Notamacropus eugenii: one gene and its partner. The protein of the gene in region 1 purifies or fractionates together with the protein of each later gene. This does not show direct contact. Links are inferred from orthologs where the notes say so. Each region holds a gene or a part of one and is shown on either strand. Other genes may lie near its edges.

Region 1 (7,589 bases):
GTAGTCAGGGTTATGGTCTATATATGCTGCCATTGCACTTGGTCCACTCTTTTTCACAAAATTCTGCCTTAGCAGAACTTCACTTTGTGCCTGGAAGGTCAATTGTTATTGGCTGCCTTGTGGCCAGTCCTACCACCCACCACCCAAAGCCATTCAGTCTCAATTTCTGCCTACTAGCATAACTTTTTACTTTTACTCATTGCTGGTTGCCCTCTAAATTCCATCGACCAAGCTTCAACATGGTTGAATGTGCAAATAAATATTTCCTAAGCTTTCCCAGCTGCTCCTTTGAACTCTTGGGGTCCTTCCATTCTATTGATTCTTAGAGTTGGAAAAGACTTTAGAGGTCAAGGACTCCAACCCCCTCCTCAAGAGGTCATCATTCAACCTCAGTTTGAATACTTTCAGAGGACAGAGAACCAGCGCCAGGCGAGATTGACTGTCAGCTTATGGTTTGATAAAATATTTCTGACGATCTCATTTTGTCCTTAATGAGTCCAAAAATGAACTCATCATTGACCGTTCCCTCCCCTTCCAAACTTTCTCCTTATATTATACTGTTTTGTATTCCTCCTCCCCATTAGAGTATAAAGCAACTTAAGGTCAAGAATTGTTCTCGTTTGCCTTTATATTTCCTGTGCCTAGCACAGTGCCTGGAATATATTAATAAGTGAATGCATGAAATGAAATGAAATGAAATTAATTAAATAAAATAAATTAAATGAAATTCTTAACTTCTCTGCTCCTGTCAGCAGTACCACCTTTCTTTTTTTTTCACTAGTCACTAAGACTTGAAAGATGTGTCATTCTTGTCTTCCTCTCTCTCTACTTTTCATCCATGCAGTTACCAAGTCCTATCTGGTCTTTCTACATGTTGCATCCTTCCCAATCTGTGCCCTCTTTTTCATTGACACCACCCTAGACCATGCCTTCTTTCTTCCTTTTTCAGACTCCTGGTTTTCTTTGCCTCTAGGTTTTCTCCACTGTAGTTCATACTGTACACCATTCATAAATTATTCATAAGATTTAGAGCTGGAAGGGGCCTTAGAGGATATACAGCCAATACCCCCATTTTAAAGTTAAGGAAGTGAGGGTCCAGAGAGTTTAAAGTGATAATCCCAAGATTACACAGGTAGCAAGTAGTAGAGGCAATATTTGAACTCAATTCTTCTGATTCCAAATTTATACCACATTAGGTATAACAGATTTGGACTCAGAGGATCCAGTTTCAAATCTCACTTCTGCCACTTATACTTGAGTGACCTTGGATAAGTCACTTACCTTCTGAGTCTCCAGGTTCTGATCTGTAAAATATACTGGCTGAATTGGGTGGCTTCTAAGGTCCCTTCCAGCTCTAGACTCAGGATCATATGATTGATAATCCTGTATCCTTCCTCATCTTTCTTCCAGCGGCAACTCTGAGATCGTCTAATATGATCTTTAAAAATGGAAGGGTTCTTATAAAAATTGAGTGTAAACCACTGCCCAACACAGATATTGTTTTTATAACACCCCCAAGAAGTGGTCATGCAGACTTTATTTTGTATTATATTTATGTGTACACATGTTTAGGATCCAAGCTCAAGATTCCTCCTTGACCTTCATTAGCATATTCTTATGACCTGTGCGACTCTGGGTTGGTCATCAAACCTCAGTGACTCTCAGTTTCCTCATCTATAAAATGAGGGCAATAATGCTCACACTATCCTCCCTACTTCCCAGGACTGTCGTGACAAAAGCACTCTACTCAGAAATCTTCAGGAGTTCCCCATTGTCTATGGAATTAAATCTAACCCCCAGTATTTGGCTTGTAAGACCACCCACAATCTATCTTTCCAGCCTTTTCAATACTCCTTTTCATGGCCCCTACTCAAGAGCCAAAGTGGCTACTACATCAGTCCCATCAATTAACTAATTCACTCAACAAGCATTTATCAAGTGCCTGACATTATATACTTGGCTCTGTGCCAGATGCTATGGATACAAAGACAGTCTCTACCCTCAAGAAAATTGTTTCTCAGTTTTCTCATCTGAAAATGAACAGCTTGGACTACATGACCTGTAAGGTTCTCTGTATCACTAAACTGATTCTGTGATCAATATGTATATATTGATATAGCAAAATATGTACAAAGTATATAGAAAGTAATTTGGGAATGGGGAGAACACCAGTAACTAGGGCAACAGGCCTCTTGGAGGAGAAGGAACCTGAGGGGAGTTGTGAAGGAAGCTTGGAAATCTCAGAAAGGAAGGTTAAGGAGAAAATCCATTCTAGGTATGGGGGTCAACCAAGGAAAAACACATAGACTGATAGTCATTTTTACTGGACCATGGAGTATGTGAAGGGCAGTAAGGGGCAATAAACTTGGAAAATTAAGCTGGAACCAGGTTGTGAAGACTTTTAAATAAATGTCAAAGGTGCTTGCATTTTATCCTAAATGGAACAGGGAACCACTGGAGTTTCTTGATCAGAGAGTGAAAAGGTCACATTTGTGTTTTAGAAATATGTTTGACAGCTAGGTGGAGGATGGATTGGAAACAAGAGAGTCTGGGGCTCTGGGAGTAATTTGCAAGGAAAGCAATAGACCAGGTGAGAGGTGAATAAGGTGAACTAGGTGGTGAACTAGGGGGGTGTCCATATCTGTTCCTTTGTTTGTGCCCAACATCTTGGGCAGAATCCTTTTTAAACCTTATCTTCAGCTCAAATATGATTTTCCTCCATAAATCCTTACCAAAATGTCCTTTGGTGGAAAAGTGAATAAACTGCCTGGCCTGGAGTGAGAAAGAGTCATTTTTCTGAGTTTAAATTTGGCCTCAGACATTTACTAGCTTTGTGATCCTGGGCAAGTCCCTTAACTCTGTTTGCCTCTTTGCTCATCTGTAAAAGGAGCTGGAGAAGGAAATGGCAAACCACCCCAGTATCTGTGCCAAGAAAACCTCAAGTGGGGTCACAAAGAGTTGAACAGAACTGAACAAAATAAGTAATCAATAATCAATAAACATTTATTAAGCCCATACTTCATTCTGGGCTTTGAGCACTGAAGATACCAAAAGACAGTCCCTGCCCTAAAGGAGCTCACAATTTAATATAATTCTTTTACTTTCCTCATAAAGCCCTCAGTACATGCCTCTTTTATTAATTGATCACAATTCACTATTATATTTATTGATATAAATGTTGTTTTATCTCCCCTGCTTAATTATAAACTCCTTTATTTGGCTGAGATGTAGTAGAATCTGTATAGAAGTAGGAGAATCAAGAGATTTAGTTTCTGTTCCCTAGACTATCTTATTCCAGCTTTGAACACTTAGTGCTGCTGCTTACAAAGCCAATTCTCAATGGTTTGTATATTAAACTGAAAACTTTTTCGCATTTTCAGCCTGTATCATTGTCTTAGAAAGATCAGCTCCCCAAATTTACAATCCATTTTGTAAAGCAGGACTTCCTTTTAGTGACTAACCCGATCTCTTTCAAGCTTTTAATCTTTAGATGTGGGCATCTGAACAACTTCATGTGATTTTATGGACTTTAATCTTGTGCTCCCTCAGTTCCTATCTTCCTACTCCGGAGAAACCTAATTCTTTCCTAATTCTAATGTGAAAGTTTTTGTGGCAGTTACTGAGAGGCAAAGTGGGAAGTTCCTGGAGAGCAAAGATCTTCCTGGTTTCTTACTTGAGTCCCTTCCAGGCTTGTACTCTCTCTTGCATGTGACAGCTGCTTAATAAATACTTGTTGTTTGATTGACAGGCTGTGGTAGGAAAAAGCACTGATCTTTTCCAGGGTCCGAAGATAACGGCCTTGAGTGCTATTCACTAACTTCGCTGCCATTTGCTGTTTGACTTTGTTTGGGTAAACAACTTAATATCGCTGAGCTTCAATTTCCCCAAATGTAGCTAGGACTAATCCATTCTCCTACTCCCCTCACAGGATTGTTACGAGGAAAGCAGGTAGCCACCGCTAAAACATTTTTATACATGTGAACTGTATTGAATGGATATCAGGGAGCTGATGAGGAAGGAAAGTTCCTGACAGTCATTCGAGAAGAAGGTACTTCCCTTAACCCAATATGTACTAAGCCCCCACTGGCCTGGGTCCAGGAGGCTGAGGACTTCTCCGTCCTCAGCTGGGCATCTTTGACTTTCCAGGGTGGGCTCCCGAGCTTAGTATGTCCAGGCAGTCTGCTAGGGACGGAGCCACTCCTTTCAAGCCTAAGCCACCCCTTCCATCTGCAGGGCAGCTCTCGTAGGTCAGATCGAGGGGGGGTTGGCAGGACTGTCCTAAAGGAGTAGGACAGAGTAAGCGGTTTGGAGCAGAGTCCCCCCAGAAAGATTACCGGGTGGGTACGGGGGCGTCCGAGGGCTCTGGAATCCTCCCTAGGCTCGTGGGGGTGGCGATGGAGTCCGGTACAGAGAAGACACGTGGGCCGCTGGGGCTTGGGCAAGGGGAGACTTCGGGGTGGGAGGGGGAGTGAAGGAGTACTAGTCGAGAGGGAGTGGAGGCGGAACCTCATTTGCATGGGCCGCGCGCGGGCGGCCAATCGGAAGAGGCGGGGCGGTGGCCCGCGCGCCTTTCGGAAGGAGACCGACAGTTTAGGGGACCTATCGGAGGCCGGTCCTGCGGCCGGCGGGGGCGGGGAAGCGCTCCGTGCCGCCCAGTGTGTGTGAGTGTGTGTATGTGTGTGTGTGTGAGTGTGGAGCGGGGAGAGTGGGTGGAGGAGTGGGAGGGCTGGGGGACTCCGGCCGGCTCTTGGGCTCTGCCAGTCAACGGCGGCGGCGCACCGGCGCGCGGGCTAGCGGTTGGGTACGGGGGCGAGCGGGCTAGCCAGAAAGAACGAGCGCAGCGGCAGGTAGCGCGGCGGGGGCCGAGACCGTGGGGATGGGGCCTGAGGGAGGAGGAGGAGGCGGCAGCCCGGCGGAGGCTTGGGATCGGGATCAGGTCCGGGCACCCCCCCCTTATTCCCTTCCCCCTCCCACCCCATCCCGCCTTTCCCCTGGTAACCCCTGGGGAGAGAAGCGAGTTGTGTAGTGTGGGGTAGGGACGGTGAGGTGAGGTGAGCTGGGCGCGCCGCCTGTGAGCTCTTCCTACCTCGTGTGAGTGTGTGTATGGAGAAGTGTGTATATATATGTGTATATATGTATATACATATGTATGTATGTGTACGCGCGCGTGTCCTCCCTGCGCCTCGTGCCTCGGTGACCCTGGAGGGCTGGAGGAGCCAGGGACCCATCCCTCCCGGGAGACCCCTGACTGCCCAGCAGCTTGGGAAGCTTTCGGAGCGTGTCCTCCGCAGACCCCCATCCCTGCACCTCCTTGTCCGTAAAATTTGCTCCCCGGCTTATCTTCCCAAAGGTGGTTATTTTGGGGGGGGGGGGGAGAGAATTTAACACACCAGGAGGGGATTCTTTTATCCTTTTCTTCTCACTGCTTCTTCCCCCTCCCCCTGCACCCCTATTTTTTTCCCCCAAGAGAAGCAAATGACAGGTTGCTCTGGCCTTTTATTTTTTCTGCCCTTTAGTTTTTTCTCTCCTTCGGTTCCTGACGGATCACGATTCCAAGCGTGTCTTTCTTCTCTTCCACCCGTTGCAGGAATTTGCCTCATCTGGATGACCAATGTCCAGTGCTGTTGTCTGTTCAGTCAGAGGCTGGGGGAAGGATCTTATCAGATCGGAACTCCAAGAGGTAACCGTGTGTGAAGTTCGAGTGTAAGAGTTTTTCTATTTTCCCGTAGCAGGAAAAGAAAAGCCCCACTTTTCCTGTTTAATTGCCCTCGAGAGACAAAGTTGGGAACTGTAGCCTGGAAAGGAGAAGTATGTTGGTACTAGTTTACGACTACGACTTTGGATGTCCTCACCTTCGTTGATTTTTTGGGCTGTGTCAGTGTTCAAAACTAATTTTCTTGAAGTTAGCCAGAGCTTTGGGCTATTACTTGTTAGTCCTGCATCTGCTCCTTGTCTGTCTTTTGTCTCCCGAGCCTTCCCAAGGATCTCTTTTGGTTTAGAATTTCCATAGAATGTGAGGTATACAGTGTAGCCTTCTTAATTATTATTTCACCTGTCTTGGAGTAAAATCTACCACCACCATGTTATAGTTAGGTGGAAAAAACAGTGCTGTTTACCTGCTAAAATGATGTTGAAAAATACTGCACTCATGATTTTTAATGGTATGTGAGAGAAGTTTTCACTTTGTAATAGAGGAAATGTCATGACTACTCTGATTCTACTGTATTAAAGTAGTAGTTTAAAGATAGTTTTAATCCTCAAACATACCACTTAAAGATGTTCTGATGTTAGAGAATTTGAAATATAACTGTACAAATAACCTAATTGTAATTTAATTTAATGACAATTTAGTCTTTTAGTACCCTGGGTGAAGTGTAGTATGATACAATTTTTGGAAAACCATCCACAGGACTAAAAGTCAAGGTATTCTTAAGTGTAGGTCAAGATTCTGGTTCTGCCCTGTGCAAGTAGATCTGATCAGGGAACATTTTAGCATAGAGATGAGAAAACATTTAGTTGGGAGGTCTCCTTAAGACTGTAAAATAGCCTTTCTTAAGAGAATGGTAGTAACTAAATCATGTTATTACTTGAAGATTTACTTAAGGAGGAAATACTGTGGGAAATTACTTTGTGTTTGTGACAAGTTTTTGTGTATACTTTGTGATTGTAGCATAATAGAAGGTATTTAGCTTCTAGGTGAATTGTTTCATGTTTTTCAGCTGAACTTTGGATTTCTTTCTCAGTTTTGAGTTTTCATATTGTTCAGATTATTAGCGTTGAAGTACCCCCCCCCCCCCAATCTGAATAGCCTTCTTTGCTTCTTTGAGGAAAGACCTACAAGAAGAATTATTCTTTTGGTTGGCTTTCAAAAAGTAGTTCTTGAAATAATATATTATTTAGACTTTTTAAAAAACCTTTTGATTTGGATTATTACAAAGAAACCAGTGTAGTTGTTCAAGAGTGGTAAGGCACAGAAGGGAGTGGAGCACAAAGTATCTAGGAAGTGATAGTATATCAATGAGAAACAAGTTACTGTTTCCAATCTGCAGTCTGTTATTTTTTCATGTTCAACAGTATAGTATATCATATGTATGCATGTATGTATGAAAAATTAAATTTATACATGGAAATAGTAAGAGGTTAAAAAATCTTTGATATGTAGTAGGGTGGATTTTGTTTAAATTACTTATCAAGAAGAACTGGATGTATTCATATTTCTTTAAAAATGCCTTGTTTGATATAGTATATGTTCTTTATAGCTCAGCTGTAAGTTTCAGTTCTAGAAAGCATGCTTTTGAAAGTAGTTTTTAATTTTAATCTTTTTTAGTTTAAATTATAAGATATCATACATTTGAATGAGGATTTAATTTTTCCCCCTGAACTTAAAGTGGCCATTTAATAAAGTAATGAGATAGTTTTAATAGAGTATTTGAAGGATCCTTGTGGACAATTATTACAAATAAATATTCTTTTCCAAGTTTCTCTTATTTAAACACTAAGCTTCTCTGTTCTGATTCTGTTCTTTTACCTAGAAAAATCAGTCATTAAAAAAAGTCTGAGAATATCTTTATTTGAATTTTTTCCTCTAT
Region 2 (7,180 bases), on another chromosome or scaffold:
ACACACACACACACACACACACACACAGAGTCTTCTCGGACCTAAATTCCCTGGAAGCAGGGACTGGTTCTCTCTTGCCCTTATATCCCCTATATGTCTGACATCCTATAGACTCTTAATAACTGCTTGGAGGACTGAAGCACTCCTGGGAGTGGAAAGTTGTGGGCATGGACTTGGAGAGATTTTGGGGGCTACACGGAGTACTTTCAATGGATTCCTTTGGGACCACAGAGGTTCCCATTGAAATAATATTATTTTACTTATATGAAATGGGTCAATAGATAGCAAGACCTTGGACTGACAAAGGTTGGGAAACAGTGACTTACAGGAACAGAGGTACTTGAAACCAAGAAGGGCATGGTGAAAGCCAGGGAAAGAGAAGGAAAGGCTTCTCTTTACTCTTGCCCTCTTCTGCCAACTCATTCCACTCTCTGCACACTCCATAAGCTACTAATGGCCCTCAGGAAGCACCACTTTGTCATTTCAGAGTGCAAAATCCCCAATGCCCTGGCCCGGCTGGAGGGACCCAGCATTGGTGAGGAAGGATTAGGGTTGGAAAGGGCTGAGTTTGAATTCCACCTCAGGCCTTTACCTTGGGGATCAGAGCTCTCAATCAGAAATGCCAGCATGGTTAGGAGGCCCATAGAAGCACTGAGAAAGGTAGAAAAGTGTTTGGCAAACCTTGTAGCACTCTGGAAATGCCAACGAGCATTACCAAACTTGAAGAACAAATGATCCTAGAGCAGGTCTGGGGTGATAAGTGCAAGTTTAAGCCCAAACCCTGAATTCTAAATGAAACTTGGTGAAGAGGACACTGGGGAACAGGGGCTTCTAACCCCTGGTACAGGGGTGGGGCTTTCCTTCCAAGTCTCCAATCAGTTAATTTAGAAGAGTATTCCTTTCAGCACCCCAGAAACAAACCAACAACCAACCCAAACCATGATGACATTCCTTTGAAGGACTTCAAACACCCCTGGGGTCACAGGGCTCAGTCAGAGGGAAATAGTGGGGTATTTAGTAACCCTTAAGGGGCCCCAAAAAAGCCCCTTATCAGTCTATTCAAACCAGGCCTGGAGAAGACTGAGCCAGGTTAGATGAAGAAATTACAAAGATAAGCAAGATAACCACTCAGTTGATAAGCAAGAATGACCCACGACCTTTCCGACACCATTTGCCCTCAAGAAAGTCTCACCAGCCTTAGGGAGTAGCCTTCCCTCCTTCCCCTATTACCAGCCTCTCCACAAGTTGTCCTCTACACCCTGATTTTGAGGGGAAAAACAAAAAGCTCTAGCCTGGGAAGCTGGAAACCTGCCTAACACTAACTTGCTCTTGACATCAGGGGGTAAAAAAATCACGTTAGTAATTTGGGTTTTATTTTCCTCATCTATAAAATGAGGGTGATAATCACTGCCCTGACGCCAGGACAAGAAATCAGGAGAAACAAGATAGTATGAAAATAATCTTCAACAGAGGGCCCAAAGAACAGAACAGAAGGAACTGGGCCTTTGGAGATACTGGGAGACCGAGGACTTATGCTGAGCAGAAGCTGTGAGGTGAGTGCGCAGGTAGGAACAGAGAATCTGGAGCCAGAAGTGGGGTGAGTCCCAGCTCCTTCATACTACAAACGAGGAAAGTTGAGGCCCAGAGTGACTCACCGAGGCTCCCATGATGATGAATATGTGTGTGTCTGACTGGTGGAAGGCATCACCCTGGTACAATTCTTCCCGGAGAATTCCACACACTTGGGTCCGGCTCAGTGCCACCTGCTCTGCCATGTTGTTTTCTAGAGGAATGAAAGGATTGTGAGGGAGCTCTGGCAAAGAGAGAGTTGGAAGGTCATTGCCCCTCCCCCTAAGAGGGACAAGTGAACTCCCCAGGCAGCCCAGATTTCAAGTGGTATCTCCAAGAAGCAATTACCAGTTCAGAGTTTAGGAGAAGGGATAAAAAACGTTAGGTTTCTGATGCCTTGAGGGTATCTGAGGAGGCTTCCAGCAGTCACATTTTGTACCTGTTAAGCCCATTTTAAATATCCTACGTTTGGTCAGGATACTCAATGGCTAAGTCTGGGGATCAAAGTGGTGTTCCCCCCCCCCCCCTTCTTTCCAAAGTGGATGTCTGGAGGATGAGTTCAAGCTGGAGCCTCTCATCTGGGATTCTAGTTCAAGGTGTTCATAGCTTGAGGGGCAGGATCACAGGTGGGGGTTAATGTCGACTAGAAAATCAGGACCTAAGCAGGAACATTATTAATTCACTGATCTTCCTTCTGCTTTGAAGATAATGGGTCCCAGTCTCAGGCAGAATGCTAATTAGCTCCTTTATCCTCTTGCTTTGAAGATGATAGGGGTGGGGGTGGGGGTGGGGGTGGTAGGGAGTAGGGGGCGGGGTGGGGGAGGGGCCTAGTTCTGACTCAGTCACTGTCTGTGACCCTGGACAAGTTTATTTCTCTTGGAGTCCAAAGTTGCTTCCCTTTTAAGGGAGCTAGACTGACTGATCTGTACATTTCCATCCAGCTTGTATATTTTTTGCCATATGACCAGTATAACCAAGCACAAAATATTATTTCTTCTTGGCCTTTTCTGATGTCTCTCCTATTTCTAAAACTGGCCTGTCCCAGTCCTCACAGTCACTACTTTGGAAAATCCTCAGGATGCAACATTATCTGGCATCTGCATCAGCAAGGCACTGGACTGTGGAAGAAGACTGTTGCAGGTGCGTGGTTGTTTTGTTTTTAAAAAGAAGTCTCAAGGGAGAACCTAGAGCAAAAAGACAACCTTCTCCGCAAGGGGTTATGCCACTACCACCAGGGTCCAAATCCAGCTAACTGCAGTTCAGCCAGACCCCTGCCACAGGTTCGATTGTTGCTACCTGTTGGGGCTTGTTTCAACTTCCCTAGGACCTCAGTGGGATCTGATCTCCCTCAGCGGATGGTTCCGAAGGGTTAGAGGTTCTCCCTGATAGGTAGGTAGGAGAAGCAGAGTATTTCCAGTAGTCAGTTTGATCACATGCCTAAGCTAAAACCCCTTAGGGGATATAGAGGAAACTTTCCTTTAGATCTAGGCCCCCAGAGACAATCTACAAGGGGCAAGAAAGCCAGGCCAGGGCTGAGATGGGAAAGAGTACAGTATCTTATCTGAACAGGAAGGTCATCAATCAATGCAGAAACAGCCTTCTGACCAGGGTTCGGAGGAAGGAGATGAGGGAGGATGCTTGGGTAAAGAGGATCAAAGAGCCTGGAGACTAAGTCGAAGGAGGGAACTGCAGAGGCTTAAGAGAAAGGCTATTAGGATGGAGAGCTCAGGACAGAGGCCAGGATGCAGGGCGGGGCTGAGGATGGAGGAGGTTGGGGTTGGGCAGGCCGGGGGCCTCCTCACCAGTCTTCGCCTCCGGATCCTGGGTCACTTGCTGATCCGGCAGAGGAAGGGAGACGACCGGGCCCGCTGCTGCGCTCGGGTTAATGCCTCGTCTGCCCGAGTGCAGTTCGGCTACACTCGCCCGACTCCCCATCTCCTCCCCCTGGCCCAGCCCCGTTGGCCCCTGACTCCGCCCCGGCCCTCCCTGCTCCCCCGGCTTTGGCTCCGATCCAGACCTGGGATTCCGCACCTCGCGCTTCAGGCGCAGGAGAGCCCGCCTCCTCAGCGACATCTCTCTCTCCCACCCCCACGTGGCCTCGCCCGGCTCGCCGCTTCCGCCTGCGACGTGGCCACGCCCCCCGAGCCGGCCATGGGCCCGCCCTTCTCAGATCACGCTCCCTGTTCTTCTCGCCAAGCCGAGGTCTCCCATCTCTAGCCGGAAGCCCCGCCCCTTTGCTTATTTTCCCCCCCCCCCCCCCCCCCTCAAGAACTCCGCCCCTCGTTCCTCTCACTCCTCCTAGTTTTCTGATACCGGCCTGGAGTGGGGAGGGGAACTGATAAAGTGCATAGTCAGGGGCACTTAAGGTGACAGAAGAGATCGTTCCGAAACTAGGAGGAGGAAGCAGATGCTCTAGAAGATAGCTTAGTGCCTAGGATTTCTTTCTAGACCTAAGTGGGCCCTGGCACGGGAAACACAGGGTAAATTTCCCCCCACCCCCGCCAAAGGCGTTATTGGTTCAGTCCTCGCTCCCTGGAGGTCGGAGACAGCCAGAGGAAGGGGCGGAGACAGTCTGAGGGACTCCGAAGCTTTCACTTTTGCACTTCCGGGTTGCCGCAGCCCTCCGGCACAATCCGGAAGTGGGTGTTGGGTGGGGAGGAGTCGCTGAGGAGTCCGGGCTTCGGAGCCGTCGGCTGGGACCCGAGCTGGCGGATTCTTGGGGGGGGCCTCCGTCGCTACCTTCGGTGTAGTTTTCGCGGCTGCGTCCGTGGCGTGTGGACTCAGGCTCGGCCCGGCCGGGCCTGGCGGCTCCCCGGGCCCCGGTGGGGCCGAAGCTGAAGCCTGAAGGCCCGAGTCTCCGGCCTCCGGGGTGAGTCGGACGCCCAGGCCCCGCCCCTTGGGCCCCGCCCCCGCCCATGGCGGCCCCGCCCCTTAGCCCCTTCCCGCCGCCTGTCCCTTCACTCTGCTCTGCCATGTTCAGCCTCTCCTGCCTCATCTGGGCCACCGCTGCCGTCCGAGGTTTTGGGGTTGGCCTCAGGGTAACTGACTCCCCATTGGCCCAATTTCTCTCCCCTTCCCCCCGTCGCCGCCGCCCCCGCCCAGTCATTCTTCGTAATTCTGGGAGAGGGGAGAATGTGAAGGAAAAGAGCAGGTTTTTTTTTGCCACCATCTTTCTAGACTTCTGATGGGATTCCCACTTAACGGTGTGAGTCCGGGCAAGTTCCTGAACCTCTGATGTTTCATCTGTAAAATGGGTATGACAATAATGGACGCTACCTCCTAAGTTTGTTTTGGGGATCAGATGCCACAACTTGTGGAAAACTATGTAATTGTGAGCTCATTAATGGTGATAATAACGGGATAAGGCTGTGGCACTAAGGGGGCACCCTTCTCTGGAGTCATCGAAGTGGCACTGCCATGCCATTGGACTTGGAGGGTCTGGAAAACCCGAGTTCAAGTATCGCCTTAGACACTGGCTAGTGTGTGACTCAGGCAAGTCACTTAACCTCCGTTTGCCGTAGTTTCTTCATCTGTCAAATGAGAATAATAGCACTTATCTCCTGGAGTTGTTGTGAAGATCAAACGGGATAATAATTGTAAAGGTGACTGACACATAGTAAGCACTATGTCAATTTTAGTTAGCTGCTAACTTTCCACTTCATCTTTTCAGACCAATGCAGGGTTAGAGCTGGAAAGGACCTTGCCCACTAGATCATAAGGTCCTTGAAGGCAGAAGACTGTCTTTTGCCTCTTTGTATCCTCAGGTTAGCATGGTTCCTGGCTCATTGGTATTCATTTATGTTCTGTTCTTTTTGGCCAGGATACCGGAATGGTTTGCCATTTCCTTCTCCAGTGGATTAAGACAAAAGTGACTTGCCTCTGTTTCCTCTTCTGTAAAATGAGCTGGAAAAGGAAATAGCAACCACTCCAGTATCTTTGCCAAGAAAACCCCAAGTAGGATCATGGAGAGTGGGACATGACTGAAAAACTACTGAACAACAACAGCTTCTTGGCTCCAGACCTAGCGCTCTATGCACTGAGCCACCTAGCTACTTCCACATACTCTGTATAGCTTGGCCCATAGTAGGTGATTAATAAATGTTTATTGATTAATTGATTGAAAATGATATAATTTGTAGTATAATTTAGGGATGCTTTGGACTCAATCTGCCTAAGTTTGCTCACAGAATTTCACAGTTGGAAGGAGCCTCAGGAGCCACCTAGTTCTGCCCCTGTCCAGTAGAAATCCTGTCTAATATAGCTGGTCATCCAACCTCAGCTTGAAGATCTCCAGTAAGGGGAAACCCACCATTTGGGACACTTAACACAGGACCAAGCACATAGGCATTTCATAAAGAAATACTTGTTAACTTCCTGGGGTAGCTCCAGCCATTAGGAAATTTTTCCTGACACTGAGCTTGCTTCTGCACTCTGGGACCAAATAGCCCCCATAGAATTTCTCTTCCTGAGCTCAGCTATCTTCCTTGCCCCTCAGGCTTTTTTCCTTGGGCTAAGCATTCCTAGTTCTTTCAGCCTGTGATGATATGATATGATGGGGAAACTCTAGGCCTTTTGCCATCCTGGTTGCTTTCCTTCTTAACAATGCTGTCCTTAAATAGGTACGCCAAATGCAATACTCCTTGTAGTGATTTGTACTTTTCATGCACATGCTGTCTTGTATCTAAGTCATTGGTAATAATAATCGCAGCTAACATTTTTAAAGTTTGCAAAGCACTTTAATACATATTATCTGATTTGATCCACACTACGATCCTTGGAGGCAGGTGCTGTTATTTCTATTTTACTATTGAGAAAACTGAGAGGTTGGAAAAGTGACATGCCTGGGATCACCCAGCTAAGGAATCCTCATAGAATTCCAACTCAGGTCTTTCTTTGCTCCAGATCCAGGTCTTTATGCCCTGCGCCACCTAGAGGCCTAAAATTCTGTTTAACAGCATAGACCAAACATGGTTCTGGCCCACTCTACTGCTGATAGCCTGCCAAGTTGGCATCAGATTCACTGAACTGAGTCTAGCTGTTGAACCAGTTCTAAATCTTTCTTCTTGTATTGTCATTTAATTCATGTAGCTCTGTCTTTTCCACAAGAATAGCAGGAGATACGTCTTAAAACTCTTTATTAAAACCTAGGTAAACTATGTAGTATCCTCCCAATCAGTCTCATAACTGTCAAAAAAAAGCCTTGATGCTGACTTTTGGTAGCCCCCCTTCCCCATGCAACATGTAGATGTTCACTAAGCCTCTCTTTAGCGATGTGGGAGAATTTCCCTGAGGATGGGAGTCAAGTTCACTGGTATGTGTTTTTGCATGTTTTGTTCTCTTACCTTTTTGGAAAATTGAGGCATTTGCCTTATTTCAACTATACAGTGCTTCTCCTCTTTTCTCTGCTCTTTTGTTTGTCCACATCTGCCTGTTTTTATGATTGATGTGGACCAGGTGATGACTTCATTGGGGGTAACTAGGTACGCTCCCTTTGACTTCCTAGTAACTCATTTTGTCACCATTATTTTCCGAGAGAACAGGAGCAAAGAATCTGGCAGCTCTGCCTTCTCCTCTTCTTTGCAGAGGCAGGGTAGGGCAGCAGCAGCGGCTC

Evidence for each region. The genes of interacting proteins can lie anywhere in the genome.
Region 2: the proteins of FKBP5 (region 1) and IKBKG purify together in Homo sapiens (affinity purification with mass spectrometry; 3 studies listed by BioGRID and IntAct, with this or other methods). This does not show direct contact. The link is inferred for Notamacropus eugenii from reciprocal best matches to the Homo sapiens genes FKBP5 and IKBKG.

What each region holds. Positions count from the first base shown.
Region 1 is NC_092873.1:92,735,099-92,742,687, reverse strand, and holds the start of FKBP5 (peptidyl-prolyl cis-trans isomerase FKBP5), read left to right. Parts: upstream 1-4,589; 5' UTR 4,590-4,847; exon of another isoform or gene 4,848-4,936; intron 4,937-5,024; exon of another isoform or gene 5,025-5,091; intron 5,092-5,516; exon of another isoform or gene 5,517-5,587; 5' UTR 5,588-5,680; exon of another isoform or gene 5,681-5,703; intron 5,704-7,589. UniProt on the Homo sapiens protein: Immunophilin protein with PPIase and co-chaperone activities. Component of unligated steroid receptors heterocomplexes through interaction with heat-shock protein 90 (HSP90).
Region 2 is NC_092879.1:10,233,356-10,240,535, forward strand, and holds the start of IKBKG (NF-kappa-B essential modulator), read left to right. Parts: upstream 1-4,176; 5' UTR 4,177-4,438; intron 4,439-7,180. Other genes in the region: G6PD (glucose-6-phosphate 1-dehydrogenase), read right to left, coding at 1,656-1,783, 3,372-3,642. UniProt on the Homo sapiens protein: Regulatory subunit of the IKK core complex which phosphorylates inhibitors of NF-kappa-B thus leading to the dissociation of the inhibitor/NF-kappa-B complex and ultimately the degradation of the inhibitor.